4 linked regions of the Schizosaccharomyces pombe genome follow. The protein of the gene in region 1 binds, or shares a complex with, the protein of each later gene. Each region holds a gene or a part of one and is shown in the gene's direction. Other genes may lie near its edges. The genes, in order: snr1, rsm18, SPOM_SPBC3H7.04 and rsm25.

Evidence for each region.
Region 2: snr1 (region 1) and rsm18 share a complex: the UniProt entries of both Schizosaccharomyces pombe proteins name them as parts of the mitochondrial small ribosomal subunit.
Region 3: snr1 (region 1) and SPOM_SPBC3H7.04 share a complex: the UniProt entries of both Schizosaccharomyces pombe proteins name them as parts of the mitochondrial small ribosomal subunit.
Region 4: snr1 (region 1) and rsm25 share a complex: the UniProt entries of both Schizosaccharomyces pombe proteins name them as parts of the mitochondrial small ribosomal subunit.

What each region holds. Positions count from the first base shown.
Region 1 is NC_003423.3:2,978,824-2,983,357, forward strand, and holds snr1 (mitochondrial 37S ribosomal protein mS47 ), read left to right. Parts: upstream 1-2,178; 5' UTR 2,179-2,238; coding exon 2,239-3,528; 3' UTR 3,529-3,617; downstream 3,618-4,534. Other genes in the region: mmp1 (endopeptidase catalytic subunit), read right to left, coding at 83-301, 349-475, 519-646; yml6 (mitochondrial 54S ribosomal protein uL4m), read right to left, coding at 838-1,623; fib1 (fibrillarin, rRNA and histone methyltransferase), read right to left, coding at 3,941-4,534. UniProt on the Schizosaccharomyces pombe protein: Component of the mitochondrial ribosome (mitoribosome), a dedicated translation machinery responsible for the synthesis of mitochondrial genome-encoded proteins, including at least some of the essential transmembrane subunits of the mitochondrial respiratory chain.
Region 2 is NC_003421.2:723,383-727,292, forward strand, and holds rsm18 (mitochondrial 37S ribosomal protein bS18m), read left to right. Parts: upstream 1-2,607; 5' UTR 2,608-2,627; coding exon 2,628-3,128; 3' UTR 3,129-3,410; downstream 3,411-3,910. Other genes in the region: protein kinase Wee1, read left to right, coding at 1-1,485; SPOM_SPCC18B5.05C (phosphomethylpyrimidine kinase), read right to left, coding at 3,648-3,910. UniProt on the Schizosaccharomyces pombe protein: Component of the mitochondrial ribosome (mitoribosome), a dedicated translation machinery responsible for the synthesis of mitochondrial genome-encoded proteins, including at least some of the essential transmembrane subunits of the mitochondrial respiratory chain.
Region 3 is NC_003423.3:1,874,146-1,878,326, reverse strand, and holds SPOM_SPBC3H7.04 (mitochondrial 37S ribosomal protein mS42), read left to right. Parts: upstream 1-1,545; 5' UTR 1,546-1,767; coding exon 1,768-2,430; 3' UTR 2,431-2,673; downstream 2,674-4,181. Other genes in the region: SPOM_SPBC3H7.05C (uncharacterized protein), read right to left, coding at 2,795-3,868. UniProt on the Schizosaccharomyces pombe protein: Component of the mitochondrial ribosome (mitoribosome), a dedicated translation machinery responsible for the synthesis of mitochondrial genome-encoded proteins, including at least some of the essential transmembrane subunits of the mitochondrial respiratory chain.
Region 4 is NC_003423.3:4,290,396-4,294,629, reverse strand, and holds rsm25 (mitochondrial 37S ribosomal protein mS23), read left to right. Parts: upstream 1-2,667; 5' UTR 2,668-2,941; coding exon 2,942-3,604; 3' UTR 3,605-3,734; downstream 3,735-4,234. Other genes in the region: PPR repeat-containing protein Ppr7, read right to left, coding at 1-1,033; nucleoporin Rae1, read right to left, coding at 4,158-4,234. UniProt on the Schizosaccharomyces pombe protein: Component of the mitochondrial ribosome (mitoribosome), a dedicated translation machinery responsible for the synthesis of mitochondrial genome-encoded proteins, including at least some of the essential transmembrane subunits of the mitochondrial respiratory chain.

The sequences.
Region 1 (4,534 bases):
AATATTAATAAATTCATACATTTCAATTAACATCTGGTGAGCCAAGAGTGAGTTGTAGAATAATATTTAATGCTCATAATACCTATTCCACATCTATGTCATTCAAAATGTTAGACATCCAGTGGGGATGTGGCCATACACGAGCTATAACTTTAGCCTTAATAAGGCCCATTGGAACAGGTCCGTAATTTCGACTATCAAGTGAGTGAGCAATGTTATCTCCTGCAAGCCAAACATGACCTAAAGGTATAGTTATTTTTTTATTTGAAGAGGTGGGATCGACATAAATTGTATCTCCTGGCTATAAAATTAGTACAAAAAGGATAACGTTCCATGTGAAATACTCACCATTCCAATGATTCGTTTGCACACGTGTTGCTTTGAATCGGAAGGTTTTGCCGAAACAACAACATCTCCTACAGAACATGAACGAGCAAACCTACCATGCAATTTATCTAACAAAACGAATTCACCACTTTTTAAGTTAGAACCATAAATACAAAGCGTTATTTCAATACCCAGAATTTAATGTTGGCATCATACTTGGACCCGATGTCATTTGCACTTGAAAAAGATACTCATGAATTTGATGCACAAATGCAGCAATCTGAACGACGGCAATAGGAATACGGAACATGCCAGCCATTGTTAACCAAGAGGTAACTAATCAAGACAGTAAACTAAATAAGCCGAAATTAAAAAATTTAAACACGACAAGAGAAAGGATTGAAAAAAGAATTAATGATTGTGGATTATAATGTTTCCGTAACTACCAAAATCGGAAAATGTAGATTCATGAAATTCAAAAACAATTGAAAGATATGCGTTTATTTCATATCATAGAGATAAAGACGGTTCAGGTTTTGATTTCGTAAAAGAACTACTATTTGCATCAACATAAGCAGTCAGGGAAGCAGGTTGATCCATATCACTTAGTGTATTTCGTTGAGCAAACTTCTCTACAATTAACGACATGGCTTCAGAATCAATAAATAGTTTACCGAATTTTAGTGCATCTCGAACCTGAAACTCACCAACAGGAATAAAGGAGCAATGGTAGCCTAACTGTCTAGATGCAAGCAATAAATTATTATTTTTAAGGGACTCATCTTCAAAGTAATTATCGTTAAGGACAAAAAGTGCCTTCCCGTACTCGTGTCCTAACTTGTGTTGCTTCAAAACTTCAAGCAAAATCCGTGTTTTTGGTTGACTTAAGTTGATGGGATTTTCAAGGATGGTCAGTTCATTATTAATAAATCTTGTACTTAGCGCAATCCTCATTGCTAAATTATAAACTTGGGTTTGTAATTTTGTACTGAAATCTCTAGGCTTAGGACCATGTGATTTAGCACCACCTCTTCTTATAGGACTTGAGGCATCGCCTACCCGTGCATGTCCTGTACCTTTTTGTCGATAAAGTTTTCGACCGGAACAAGTAATTTCATTTCGGCGCTTTGAGCTAGCAGTGCCTTGACGGTCATTATCTGCTTCATAAATAACGGCACGATGCAAAATATCTCGACGAAATCTTTCTTGCAGGAAACTTCCGGGAATAAGAAAAAGACTCGCGGGCTCCAACGACGGAAATTTATATCGCACCAAGTGCAACATTTTTGCTGTCATTCTGATTAGTTTGTGAAATGGACGACTAGTACCTGAAGAATGGATGTATTTTACTTTCAATTAGTCTAACACAATGTACTAAGTATCACAATGCATTTCATTATAACATATTGTGCATTCAAAAGTATCGTAAAGCGTAAAGTATCGAGTTCATTAAATTACGTTGTTTTATGCAACAGGAACTTTATGACTGTATACTGTTAGATAAATTAATGATATCTCATTCATTACCTAAAATAGAAGAAATAATTATTTATACTATGTGATGTCGTACATTAAATATTTGGAATTTGCTCATTCTGACACCTTAAATTGTTGTTGCAAATAGCACCTGTGTATTACAATAACAGTTTTGAGTACTCAATGCTATGCAACAAGTGGTTTAAGACTTTTAAAATCGACAAACCCTGAGAAACTAAATTAATACTAAATATAGATTTTTTGAGACAAGTATTTGCCCAGCTAATGCATGGAAACCTACTTTGTTTTACGAATGGTCTTTTGTGATTTGTTATTAGTTCACAATTAAGAACACACTTCGTTATAAAGTAACGTAGAAGAGACGTTAACCGTCTATGCAAAAATAATCGGTGTTATTTAACTTGGTTAGCTTTCATGGGATTGAAATTAAATATCTCTAACGATTTGAAAAAATCTGGATTTATGTTAAGGCAATCCTTACTTAAAACAAGTGTGTCAAATTTCCTTTCTTTGAATGCAAGTAGCACCATGTCTAGAGCGTTTATTCGAAATCCAAAATTTTATAGCACTTCCTCAAATGATACAGTTTTATACGAGAGTAAAAATGGAGCAAGGATATTTACTTTAAACAGGCCAAAAGTATTGAACGCTATCAACGTTGACATGATAGATTCAATCCTACCAAAGCTAGTTTCATTAGAAGAATCAAATCTGGCCAAGGTAATTATTCTTAAAGGAAATGGTCGCTCTTTTAGTTCGGGAGGTGACATTAAAGCTGCAGCACTTTCAATACAAGATGGAAAATTACCTGAAGTTCGCCATGCATTTGCTCAAGAGTATCGATTAAGCCATACGTTAGCTACATACCAGAAACCAGTTGTGGCTTTGATGAATGGCATCACCATGGGAGGTGGATCTGGTTTGGCTATGCATGTTCCTTTCCGTATTGCGTGTGAAGATACGATGTTTGCTATGCCAGAAACCGGAATTGGCTATTTTACTGACGTGGCTGCCAGTTTCTTCTTCAGTAGACTACCAGGATACTTTGGAACTTATCTGGGATTGACATCTCAAATCGTAAAAGGATATGATTGCCTGCGTACTGGAATTGCAACTCATTTCGTTCCGAAGCATATGTTTCCTCATTTGGAGGACAGGCTTGCAGAGTTAAACACGTCTGATATTTCTAAAATCAATAATACAATCCTGGAATTTGCCGAATTTGCTAGCAGTTCACCACCCACTTTTACTCCAGACGTTATGGATGTCATTAATAAATGCTTCTGCAAAAATGATACCGTTGATATTATTCGTGCGTTAAAAGAATATGCTTCAAACACTAGTGCTTTAGCGGAATTTGCAAAATCTACCGTTAAAACATTGTATAGCAAATCTCCGACTTCAATTGCTGTTACCAATCGACTTATTAAGTCTGCTGCTAAGTGGAGTATATCTGAAGCATTTTACTATGATCATATCGTTTCCTATTATATGCTTAAACAGCCTGATTTTGTTGAAGGTGTTAATGCTCAACTTATTACAAAGACCAAAAATCCAAAATGGAGCAAATCCCATGAATATCACTTTAAAGATTTAGAAAACTATTTCAAGTTGCCTTCAGAATACAATAATGGGATATCTTTTGCTGCAAAAGGAAGACGTAAAACTCCCCTTTGGAATTATAAGACTTATCCTTATTTATAATCCCAAAGGTTACATAAATTAAATATTGTTCTTTATGTCTACTAAGTTTTTTCAGTATTATAATAAGATGATTTATTTCAAAGACCCTGTTATGTTTTAGCATGCGATAAAGCACATAACTCTTTTTAGCAGCTAAAAATAATGATAGCCATTTTAAATACTCATACTAAAACTCTTTTTCGGTAGCTGTGCGTACGATAGTTCAAAAAAAAGAATGCTAACGGCATTAATATATATTCCATAATTCCCATATTGGATCAAACAATGAGAAAATAATTGACAAAACTGCCAAACGCATACCCAAAATATATTTTTATTATTCCAATTGCTCACGGCCTTACCATAAGCTTTTCTAGCAAAAAAAATTATATGATAAACTAAAAAAGCATGCACTTATGGCATATATTTCTGTTTACTGATGTCTCAAGTATTTTCCTACGATGATACAGTGATCACGTTCGTAAGGCTCTAAAGTAAGTTGTTCTTGAGGTTTAATCTTTTCCTCTTGCATTTTCTTAACCTCACGAGCAAAAACAACAGCTGCATCAGCGGTAGAATCAATACAAGAAGCCTTAACAGAGATAACAACTCCACCTTCGTTTTTCAAAAAGGCGGCGGCGTTCAAAGCAACGATACGAGCCTGATCGGGTTGAGCAACGTCTGCAAAAACAACGTCAACCATTCCGACTAACATACGATACTTTTGAACATGGCGAGCATCCTCAACAATGGGGATGACATTCGTGCGCTTTTTAGCCATGTTAAGAAGATCACGTCCAGAACGATGAGAAAACTCAACAGCGTAGACAAGACCCTCAGGACCAACAACATCAGCAACGTGAGAAACGGATGTACCGTTAGCAGCACCAAGATATAAAACACGTGCACCAGGTTTAATATAGATGTTGTCTAAACCGCCCAAAATACCTGCGGCAAGTTTAGAACGGAAAGGATTCCATACACGGTATTCAACTTTGGTACCATCTGGGGAATCAACGCTAATACG
Region 2 (3,910 bases), on another chromosome or scaffold:
GGTCTTTTATCCAAGCAACATCGTCCGCGAAAGAATATTAACTTTACACCTCTCCCTCCTAGTACTCCTTCAAAACCCTCTACCTTTGTTCGTCCACATTCTTCCTCCACAGATTCGCCTCCATCACCCTCGACTCCTTCCAATACACAAACCGACTCTTATTTTATTCAACGGGAAAACACTCCTACAAATCACAATTCCATTCCTACTATTCAGTTGGAGAAAAGTTCCATGGACTTTTTGAGGTTCGATCCTCCTCCTTCTGCTGTAAAAACTTCTCACAACTATGGATTACCATTTCTATCTAATCAGAGGTGTCCCGCTACGCCTACTCGTAACCCATTTGCGTTTGAAAATACTGTTTCCATTCACATGGACGGTCGGCAACCTTCGCCTATCAAATCGAGAAATAATAATCAAATGTCATTTGCCATGGAGGAAGAAGCTGATGTATCTCAACCCTCTTCTTCAAGCTTTACATTATCCTTTCCTTCTGCTCTCACCTCGTCCAAAGTATCATCATCTACTTCACATTTGCTTACACGGTTTAGAAATGTTACTTTACTAGGAAGTGGAGAGTTTAGTGAGGTTTTTCAAGTTGAAGACCCTGTGGAAAAAACTTTAAAGTATGCAGTGAAAAAGCTCAAGGTAAAGTTTAGTGGACCAAAAGAACGTAATCGACTACTTCAGGAAGTCTCTATTCAACGAGCCCTTAAAGGCCATGATCACATTGTAGAGCTTATGGACTCATGGGAACATGGGGGGTTTCTTTATATGCAAGTCGAATTGTGTGAAAATGGTAGTTTGGATCGTTTTCTTGAAGAGCAAGGACAACTTTCAAGGCTCGATGAATTTAGGGTATGGAAAATATTAGTAGAAGTAGCTCTTGGGCTACAGTTTATTCATCATAAAAATTATGTTCATTTGGATTTAAAGCCTGCTAATGTTATGATAACATTCGAGGGTACCTTGAAGATTGGTGATTTTGGAATGGCCAGTGTTTGGCCTGTTCCGAGAGGCATGGAAAGAGAAGGTGATTGTGAATACATTGCGCCTGAGGTTCTTGCTAACCATTTGTATGATAAACCTGCTGATATTTTCAGTTTGGGTATCACAGTCTTCGAAGCTGCTGCTAACATTGTTCTTCCTGATAACGGTCAGTCTTGGCAGAAATTACGTTCCGGTGACTTATCAGATGCTCCTCGACTTTCTTCAACAGACAACGGTTCATCTCTTACTTCTTCTTCTCGTGAAACACCGGCTAATAGTATAATAGGCCAAGGGGGACTTGATCGCGTTGTAGAGTGGATGCTATCTCCAGAGCCTAGGAACCGACCTACCATAGATCAAATTTTGGCAACTGATGAGGTTTGCTGGGTTGAAATGCGTAGAAAAGCCGGAGCCATAATTTATGAAGGTATTCATGGATCTTCTTCTAACCCCCAGGGTGATCAAATGATGGAAGATTGGCAGGTGAATGTTTAAACCTTTTAGAGACTCTTGTTCTCAATGTTTATTACTGCGAAATTGCGAAATAAGGGAATGGCTTCCAAAATCTGTTTAGCTTCATAAAAGCAAACACTTTAATTATTTTTAAACGAAAAGTTTAGTGATTGGTGCTTATAATTAATTTTGGTTCATTAAATGCTTTTTTTTTATTTAAGGATACGTGTCCGTTTTAACCGAACCCTTAAATTTTAAAAAATTTTAAAAAATTATTAGATGATAGTTTTTCTATTTAATTTTTTGCCTTTTCACCGGATTATCTATTTGGTTTTCTTCAGTCAAATATCCGGTTAATTATATCTGAGGCAATATGATGATGGCTATGGAAACATGCCATTCAGTTCTTGATATGGGGAACTAGAATGTTTCCTTAATTTAAAGCCTTGACGCCGCACATACTGTACGTGCTTTGTCTACTGAAAAAATGTTAGTGAACGATTGTTTTTTATATCGCAAATCCTTTCTCTAACATGTAGACTCGGCTTCAGAGGAGTTATTATTCCTATTTTTCATCTATTTTATTGTCTAATTTCTTATGTCACTCGTTTGTTATCGACTTGATATGTTGCATTTACTCATCTTTGCTAGCATAAAGTTCGAATCCCGACTGTTTATCCACTTTTTTTTGACTTCTGTTTTCATAATAATTTAGATCGATCGATGACACTGCCTATTATTCTTGTACATAGTTTACGATCTTGCTGAATGGCAAATAATTGGTTATGTTTATGGAAAATGCCACGATTTACTAACGAAGTTTAATAACCCGTTAGATTTTTTATTATTATCATATCATATAATAATTAGTAATAATGTTAACGTTATGCTTAGTTCCACTTCTGTAATTTTTAATTTCCCTTTTTTTTTATGCTTGTGAAAGCTGTGTATATGCTCAAGTTTGTGATGCCTTCAAATTAGTATAGGATTTTAATGACCCGTTTAACACTTCATATCTAAATAAACATTTATTTTGAAACAGAAAAGTTAGAAAATTCAGGTATCATCACGTTTTCATTTATCAGACACAAGCATAAGCTATAAACTATTTAACGAGTGTCTCATTATTTCACTAAACACCTTCAAACATTGAAATATTACTTTGACAACAGCACGGGAGAAAAATGCTTGGGAGACGAATATTTTCTCCAGCTCCAAACAGAGGATTTATTTTATGCAATCTCATACAATCTAATAACTCTACGCGAAGAGGGTTTTCGGACAATCGAAAATTTAATGAGAGAAATTCTGAAGCATCTTCAAATGTAGGATTTCAGAGAAGAGTTCGCTCAAATATTCCATCATATTTATCAGCCTCCGTAGAAGAAGGTGATATTTACTCTCCCAATGATTTACTGTTTGAAACGGTAAAGGCGAAAAATCAAGCCAAATTCTATGAACCAGTAAGAGAAGATTGCTTTAAGACGGTGAACGAAAACCCTATGAATTATTGGAAAAACCCCGTAATATTGTCAAGATTCGTTACTGAACTTGGTCGTATTAAACCCAGAGGTGATACTGGCCTAACAGCAAAAAATCAACGACTTCTTTCTAGGGCTATCCGAAGGGCTCGAGCTGCTGGTATAATGCCGACGAAATACAAATCAGTTTATTCGGAAAATTAAATTGTACTGAATATTAACAAGGACGTTCTATATCTCATTTCATCACATTGGTAGATATACTTACCCACTGTCCCTTACTTTTTTTTTCTTAAGGAACGATAAACGATCTACTTTACTTTTTAAATGATTAGCTCACGTTAATTAATATTTCAGGTGTACTTTGGTTTTGAATAGTCTTTTTTGGATTAAAATATACATGACACAAAATCATAAACCGCTGCTAATATTAGTGGCTAACATTTTTTAATGGCTTTAAAAATATAATATCTTTGTTATCTTTAATTTTTAATTTAGCTTGATTGAACTTTTTTGTAGGAGGAGCGTTAGTCGATACAATGTATTAAAAAAATTATCTAGTAGTAGTTATTTTACTTATCTAAAGAGGACAGAGAGGGAAGAACAAATAATTATATGCAAAAGAAGAAAAAATCCATCTAGAAAAGAATTGGGTTTTATAGAACGATATTAAAACGATGAGTGCATCATGGAGCTAGTTCAAAATATATGCAATAGGGCTTTTCATGAAGGTATATGAGATAAAAGAACAGAAGTTAAATCAGCTTGTGGTATGTAATTCTCCGACTTTAACGAAATTAGAGATCCTGAGAACTTAGAAGAATGACCTAAAGCTGTAAATAGCTGAGCACTCTTATAGGGATCTGAACTCTTTTTATGAACCCTTTGAATGGCCCACTCGATTGAATATAAAGCTTCGTGAATGGCTTGCAAAGGTGGTATATTACAAGCCAGATTCGATGCAATGGCAGCTGTAAGAGAGCAAC
Region 3 (4,181 bases), 1.1 Mb from region 1:
TGTCATCAATTATTCATGCTTCTTGTCCTTGATTATTGTTATATATCTTTTGAGCGCACATCAAATAAATTAAACGGATTGGTAATTACAAAACAGACATGCTGAGTTTGTGTAAAAATCATCGCTAATTCTAGGTGGTATATTTAATCTATCCTATAGAAGAAATTACCTTTACTCGTTAGTAATGTCTCGTACCATTGACACAGTCTAATACATTAGCAATTAAAAAAGACTGTGGCATGGCCTGTAAAAAATACGCATCTAGCTCTTATTTTGGATAAAAATAAATAAATATGTGACTTACTGAAAAAATTGTACCAGGGTCAGATGAAACGTTGAAAATTATTCGCTTATAGCCCTGATCACTAATGGCATGTAATCCAAAACTAGTGGATAGTGAAACAATCTTCTATTTTAACTATAACCAGATAATATTAAATTTAAAAAAAGTATCCGTAATCCATAAATCACTTGTTACTGTTGTGTAGAGCCTGAAATTGCAACAAGACCGGGCTTGGCAGCATGTATGCATACTTGGGTTATTCCGTCTAAGTTTCAGCAGTTCTTCCTTAATATAGTAGTAATCTTTTTGTCTCAAATCCCATATTTCTTCTAGCTCAGCCCCAATGGTAGGTATTCTTCAAAAACATTTGTATGCAGCTAGTTATTCCCTATTTCGCTTGTAAGCATATGAAACAATCCCAGTAGCCTCGGCTAAAAATAACCTTAAACTTTTTTTTATTGCCAAAGCAGCTTTTTGAACGATGAAAGAAATGAAGCTTCGAAAAAAATGCAGTGCACTTACAATTTTAGTTAACTAAAACTAAAAATAAATGGTAGATGTTTCCAATCCATGAACGGTGTTATGAACCTGTATCAATTCCTAATTAATCGTTAGCGTATGGTTTCATAAACGATTAATCACGAATGTTTAGATCAAATTTGAGTAAGCTTTTGAACAATTAGGCTGCAATCTAAACGGTTACATAAAAAATTTGAGGGTCTCTTGAATTACTGAGACAAAAAAAAAAATCGGGCTGTTGTGGGAATCGAACCCACGACCACCATCACCCTAAGATGGTATCATACCACTAGACCAAACGGCCACAATTGTCATTTATAAACGTTTAACATATTTACAGTTCTTTCACATAAAAGTTGTGATCATTCGAATATTAAAGTTATTTTTCTTCTTCTCAAGTCAATGAATCTTCTTATAAAAGACGAAGTAAATTTGATTGAAAATGAGTCATACAGCTTACTTTTAAATTGAATCATGGTCATATTGGGAATAAAGGCTTTTATAATCCACCGTTTAAACCCGTTGAACGCTTTAAGATTACTTTCACAATTTTTTTTGGGAAACTTGTTAACAAATTCATTGTAATACTAGTTAAGTTTCAACGAAGTTTTAGATTTCTGTTAATTCAACTTCAAAAATTTATATAGTGGTATAATGGTATATATCGCAACAAGGAATGCAGAACTTTCATACCGATATTTTACTTGCGCCAGTAGGGCTGCTTACCTCTCTCTGAGCGGTCTGAGTGGAACGCCTTTACCAATATTGAAGTTGAAATATTTCAAACATTCAAAAACGTAGCATCTACACTATTTGATTTTCATATTTTGTTAATACTTAATGAATTAATTATACAGTTTGGTCGTCTTTGCCAATTTCTTAGGATTACAAAATTTAAACCCGCATACTTGATTTCCATTGCAGTTTTTTATACCCATTCCCTAACTATTACCTCAATTTAACAAATGAGTTTTCAACAGCGCTTCGCCAGAGCGTTGGACGTGGGCTACAAGAATTTTTTGTCAAAAGATGCGGTCAGGAATATCTTTGCTTATGACAACCACTTACGAGGCCTAGTACAAAAAGAATGTAAAATTCATCAAACTCCGTATCGTGTGCCTTCAGATTTAATGGTTCAAAGCGCTAGTGACCCAGCCCGCGCTAATTTATTCAATTACTCTAGCCAATTGGTAAATCATGATTTTTTCTTTTCCGGCCTTATTTCTCCAGAACGGCCCTCTGCAGATGCAGATTTAGGAGCTATCAACCTAAAGCCTGGAATTGATGCATCCTTCGGTTCATTTGGTGAGTTGAAGTCTCAAATGGTTGACGTTGGCAATTCAGTTTTTGGTGATGGTTGGCTGTGGTTGGTATATAGTCCAGAAAAATCTTTATTTTCCTTATTATGCACGTACAATGCGTCAAATGCCTTTCTTTGGGGAACAGGATTTCCTAAGTTTCGTACCAATGCAATTGTACCGCTTTTATGCGTTAACCTTTGGCAATATGCGTATCTTGACGACTATGGTTTAAATGGTAAAAAAATGTACATTACAAAATGGTGGGATATGATCAATTGGACGGTCGTCAACAATAGATTCCAAGCTACGCGCATTGAATCCCTTTAGCTAACCCGACTGAATCCTGCACAATTTTCAATCTTTTTCTACTTCTCTCCCCTCCTCTCCCGGCTACGTTTTGTATGCAAGTGATCATGGTGGCTTACTATGGGTTCACTTTATCTGATTGAAAAAACCCATACTATTAACAAATCTTATAAATAAATAAAGTTTTGTAATTACTGTTGGCAAAGAATGAGAATTAGAATGCTAAATGTAATGTTTCCCTCTATATATTATTTAACATTCCAACAATATCTACGGAAAAGTTAATTTAGTTGAACCATCCATTAAATGTATAAACTAGGACACATAGCAATTATCTGATACTTTAGAGGTTTCGGAAGGTCAAACATAGACATTAAACAGTAAATTAAATTTGCGAGCATGTTTTCCACTTAAATTTTAATAATACGACTCCCATACCATATGTTCCATTAATAAGCATTTCGATTATTAGGACCCAATAATGATATTTGCGCAAGAGGGGAATCCTTTTTTCAAGATTAATAAGGAAAGGTTGAATTAAAAGCTGAAAAAAGAAAGCAGGTGAACAGCGTCCAGAAATTGACCAATAGGCAAAGTCATGGAATAATGCTGAAAGGAAAAAACATGAACAACTTGCCAGAAACTTACTTCCAGTGAGGGCAATAGTTGGATCCCAAGCAATCACTCTGAAATAGGGCTTGGTACAAACATGCCAATCTCTGGACCAAAAATCATTAACCGAGGTGGTTTTAGATACATTTCCCATCATTAATGGATACTCTGCAATATCCCAAATTCCCAGAGGAACAAAAATAATGGCGAATAAATAGTACAAGGCATTAATAAACAAATATGAAAAGAATCCAGAGGTTACGCAAAATGCGACTTGAATATACCATGGGTTGGCTGATATAGGAAGCAACATCCAATTGGATAAACGAGTTTTAAAACAATTGACAAAACAAAATGCACCCACATAGACAGCAGTACGTATCCCCAAAGATTTGTAAGTCAGCACTTTTCTACAGTAAGGGGGAACCACGTCGTCAGTCCAACCATACTTGCGCAAAGAAAGTGCATAATCAACAAAGTTCCACCTAGCGTTACGAATGAATGGTCGACGACGCTTAACAGCGCTGATTTGTACAGGATCGTTGCGAGAAGGTACCATATCTCGCCAACTCAAAAAGCAAGTTCGAAGCGACATCATAATGAGAAAGCCATATGCCAAACCAAATGTAGAGACATCCTTATAACCAACATGGTGATAGACAGCACACATGCGATACGCCAGTATAACCGTGATGGAACATAACAAAGTGCAGGCGATTTTCCACCGGCGAAAAAAACAAAAGGTTTCGACAAGGTATGTAGCTAAAGGGAATAGATTGAACAGAAGGATGTTATAAATACCTGTGACTGGAAGTTTGGAAGAAGGATCGAAAGAAAATGGATACATGAAAGTAATTGAATTTTAGATCGTGTTCGTAGATGATCAAACGCCGAAAACTTTATAGTGGAGGAATAGGAAAGGAAGAAAAGCAAAAAAGTAAGAAAGAAAATTCGCAGTTAAAACAAAAGTGAAGAAAAAGAACAGATAGGGTAAGACAATACAAGCAACACTAGACGAGACAAGACAAGACAAGGCGAAACAATAAGAAAAGGCAAACCACACTCTATATAACTATGAGACTTTATTTACAATCAATCAGTCAACCGACAAAAATATGAAAAAAAGACAATAATGATAAAAGAAAATGACAAAATGCTTA
Region 4 (4,234 bases), 1.3 Mb from region 1:
CTATTCGATGGTCGAGAAGATAACTATTGTATTCTTCCAGCTGAACAATATCGCGCATTAAAACCCAATTACGGTTTTTTGAGAGTAATTGTACAAATTTTATAAATGCATCTTTTGGCAATGGTCCCATGCCTGCACGAGACCACTGTTTATAAAGAAAATGAGCAGTATCAACTTGGTTATCACGATATGCTATGGAAAACAAAAACGCATAAACGTGTTGCAAAGGAAGCTGTTGATTTTGGAATCTCAAAGGAGCAAATATATGACCTAATGACTCTGAGAAGCAGAAGCGTTTTAAATTAGAGACTGTAGAGGAATCCATCCCAAGATGGGAATTATGGAAATGATACACCAAACACAATTCAACGTACAGACTTTTGAGATTTTGGGGTAACTTAATGTTACTCCACCAGTTTTCTCGAAAATTTTGATATAAGATTGCTTGTTCAGTCAAATTGCATGAACGGAATCGTTCTAAAAAACGGAGGCAGAGTTCAACAAGAAAATCTTCTTTTTTATTTTTTTTGGCGACATTAATCCAAATGGGAGTTATTTTTGCCAACGTTTCAACCTCCAGTTTTGAATACACAATGAGGCAAAGATCAGGATTTTTATCAAAACATTCGGCAAACCGTTTTTTCACGTAAATTAGGAATGGGTTTTTATGTTTGTCAAAAGGCACAGTAACCTTTTCAGTTTTATTATCAGCATAGACTTCACTGACTTTTCGGATAATGTACATTAAATCGTTTTCACTAAGAACAGCACCTGCGCTGGAAGGCAAACACTTGTGAAATAATTGATTTTCTGCAAAACTTGAGAGAAATGCTTCGTTTGAAGCAGATTTCGAGTATTTATGTAATTCATCAGAAGACGCTTGTCGAGGCCTGCACCCAGTTACCTTTTCATGATGAACGCTAAGCTGGTTTAGTGACCGCACAACAAGACGATTTGGGAAAGGGATTTTAAATTCCCTTAAACGTAAATGTTTTGTCCATGCAAAAAGTAGTGGAGATACACAATTTCGCATCTCTTAGCCTGGCAAGCAGACAAAAGTCGTCCCCAAAACGAGAGGCGTGGAAACGAAAAGACGCGTTATGAAGAAAAGAAACGATAATCAAATTAAAAGGATCACTATTAATGAGAGAAGGGGGTACTTGATAAAAAAAGAAAACGAGAACTCGATACGAGATGATGCATATACTTCCGTTCCCTTTCTATATGATGCGATAATTCAAACATTAAACTGTGCGAAAAGGCTCAATAATGCATCTAAACATTTCATCCAAGGTTTCCAAAAAACAGAAGGTGGTATAAATACAGCTAACTGAGCAAACCTTCCAACGTTGCGAAGTTGGGTTCTAAGCAAAACCTAAGATTGCTATTTCCTCATTAACAGGCAGCGTTAGTGAATTAACGGAAACCATCGCTATAGTTTATTTACGTTATTTTGTTATAATAGCTCGTTATTGTGTAAACATGGAAAGAACATTCATGAGTAAAAAAGAGGTCCCTTAATATAATTAAATGCAGAATATCCCTCTAAACTATTAAACTATCATTCATCGATCCTCTTAAGAATCGCTAATGAATAACGATCAATCGGCCATCATCATATATAGGAATGGCATTGAATGCAACCAGCATTTAGGCACGTTTGTTGACTCATTAGTATTTAATCAGCATTTACAATATCATCGAATACACTTTCGTCAAAGAACACAAGTGTAGTCTATTTACCTTACTTCTTCGTTATAAGCTACAGATTAACCTTACCTAGGTTATATAACACTCATCATCCAGAAGCGAATATCGTATTCTAGCATTGAGATTGCCAGCTAGCAGGTAAAATCAAATACGGAGTATAAATATGACTGCGTTATAAGTGAAGAAATGAAAATAACTGCTAAAAATGTATGAGCAGGCAAGAATTCAAGTAGTTGATGTCCATTCATAATAATACTGTACGATCAATGGCTTTAAATATTTGCAGCACTTCATTTTCACTTCAGAACATGCTAGGTGTAGCGGCATTTGCTGCGCTAATTTACTCAGTCAGTTTATGACAAAATCAAATTAGCAAATACGCATACAGCTTCACAAATACAGTACAGCCATTTAATTTGCTTTACGAAACATATAATTGATTTTGTCTAATTAATCTTAAAATTTTTTTGGAGTTTTTTGAACCATTGTTATTAATAATTCTAACGGCTGCCGGTAAATATTTAATGAAATCAGTGAAAATTAAAAGTATAAAAAAAAAAAAGTTTATTCCATAACAAAAAATTTTTAAGTATTAAAAAATTTTTAAGCAGTTTAACTTGCTTTCCTATGGCGTTAACGATTGATAAAAAAATATAAAAAAATAAAGGCAATAAACTCTATATACCTTTAGCAATTATAAAAAAAATATCTAAAAAATAATAGGGACTTTCAATCCATAAAATTAATTTAGATGAACAATCGCTTAGTTTAAATTCCGAATTTACAAACAAGCCATATCTTAGCAAAAAAAAGGCAATAGATGTGTTTAAATTTATAAATAACTATTTCATTAATAGTGTTCGTATCCTTGTGTGTTCTGAAATAAATATTCATAATATCTTACCATTAGGTTATACTCAGTAGCTACTAAGATGAGGCACACTAGTACCGTCAGCTAACACTAGCTTGGCCAGCCCAATTCCTCTTGGAAGCCATTTTCACCAAAAAAGTTGGTTTCTTGCGCTTATAATTCACTTTTTTAGCAGACTATCCATATAAGCGATTGTTTATTACCTCAAGTCATACTCTCCATTATTTATAGCGCCGTGGATGTGTTTTGCATAATTAACCCATCTCAATCATTATTCAATCCTTACTTCCATTTTCACGTTTCTATTACTGATTATTTTACTAATATACTATTTAATAACTTTTTCAGGAGGAAGATCCAATGCCGAAATTTAATGCAAATGGTTTGCTACGCAGCTTTGCAGCTGAAATGAAAAAGCCATGGACAGCAGAGTCTTTATGGTACGAAACGGTTGCTAAACATCCCCCAACCTTTCAATATGCTAGACGTATTGTACCATTGTACGATCCAAATAAGGTAAAATCCCGTGGTAAACGGTTACGAAAATCAATGTATCAGCCTCAGGAAATTCAATGGCCAGAAGATAAACTCCGTAAAAGGTTTTATCGAGATCATCCTTGGGAACTAGCAAGGCCTCAAATCATTGCAGAAAATGACGGTAATGATCAGCAATATTGTGATTGGAGTCACATGGATCAACCGCGCAAAGCATTATCTGGCGAGAGTGTAGTGCAAAGAACTTTATGGCTGATTGAAAACTCTAACATGCCTGTAGAAAATGCTTATGATCAAGCAAGAAAGGAATTTTATCACCTACGCGCTGAACAAGAAATTCAGCAACGCGTTGCCCATGATCAGGCTCAAGCATTGGGTGCTGTATTTACAAAATCTGATCTGGAGTTGGGCTATGAAATGGATCAAAATGCTTTAAATTCTTGGTTTGATAATGCTTCACAATACGCTGAGGCTAATCGTACAAAGTTCACAGACCCGAGTGTAGATATCTCTAAGACGACTCAGTAGTATTTAAATTCACAGCTGATATATCATATTGTCTCCTCAAAAATTGATTTTTGTTTTGTTTTTTTTTTTTTCAGAATTTTCTTAGTACTATCCCCTTTCAAAAATAAAACAGATATTTTTCATCTCTTTATGTCTTCAAATTAAAACAATCTATCAGAACACATTAAATTTCTACCATCTATTTGAATACATATATATATATTATAAATATTATTCAAAGCTATAGCAAGCTTTTCAGATGACACTGCCGTTTAGCCAGCTAGCGAACTTTCGCTCCAAACTTTTAAAAGTGCTTTAAAAAAAGTTCATCATTTATTGAGCAGCCAACATAGATAAGAAGATGATAGCGTCTATACCCATAACACTTTTTGTCAGGAAAGGAAAAATTTTTCTAATATTAAACGATTGCCAGTAATTGATTTTAGTCATGAATCACGAAATGCCACTTTTTTTCCCAAACAAAAAGTTAAGATACATATCAAAAAAACCAAACTCATGCCTCAACAGGATTGGTCACCATCTCACCTATGTAGACTCTAAAAATTACCATCATTTACCTTCCTTTCTTAGGTCGAGGTTTTATTTCGTCTTGCGGAACAGGGTGGAGCATGATTTTATTGGGCAATTGCG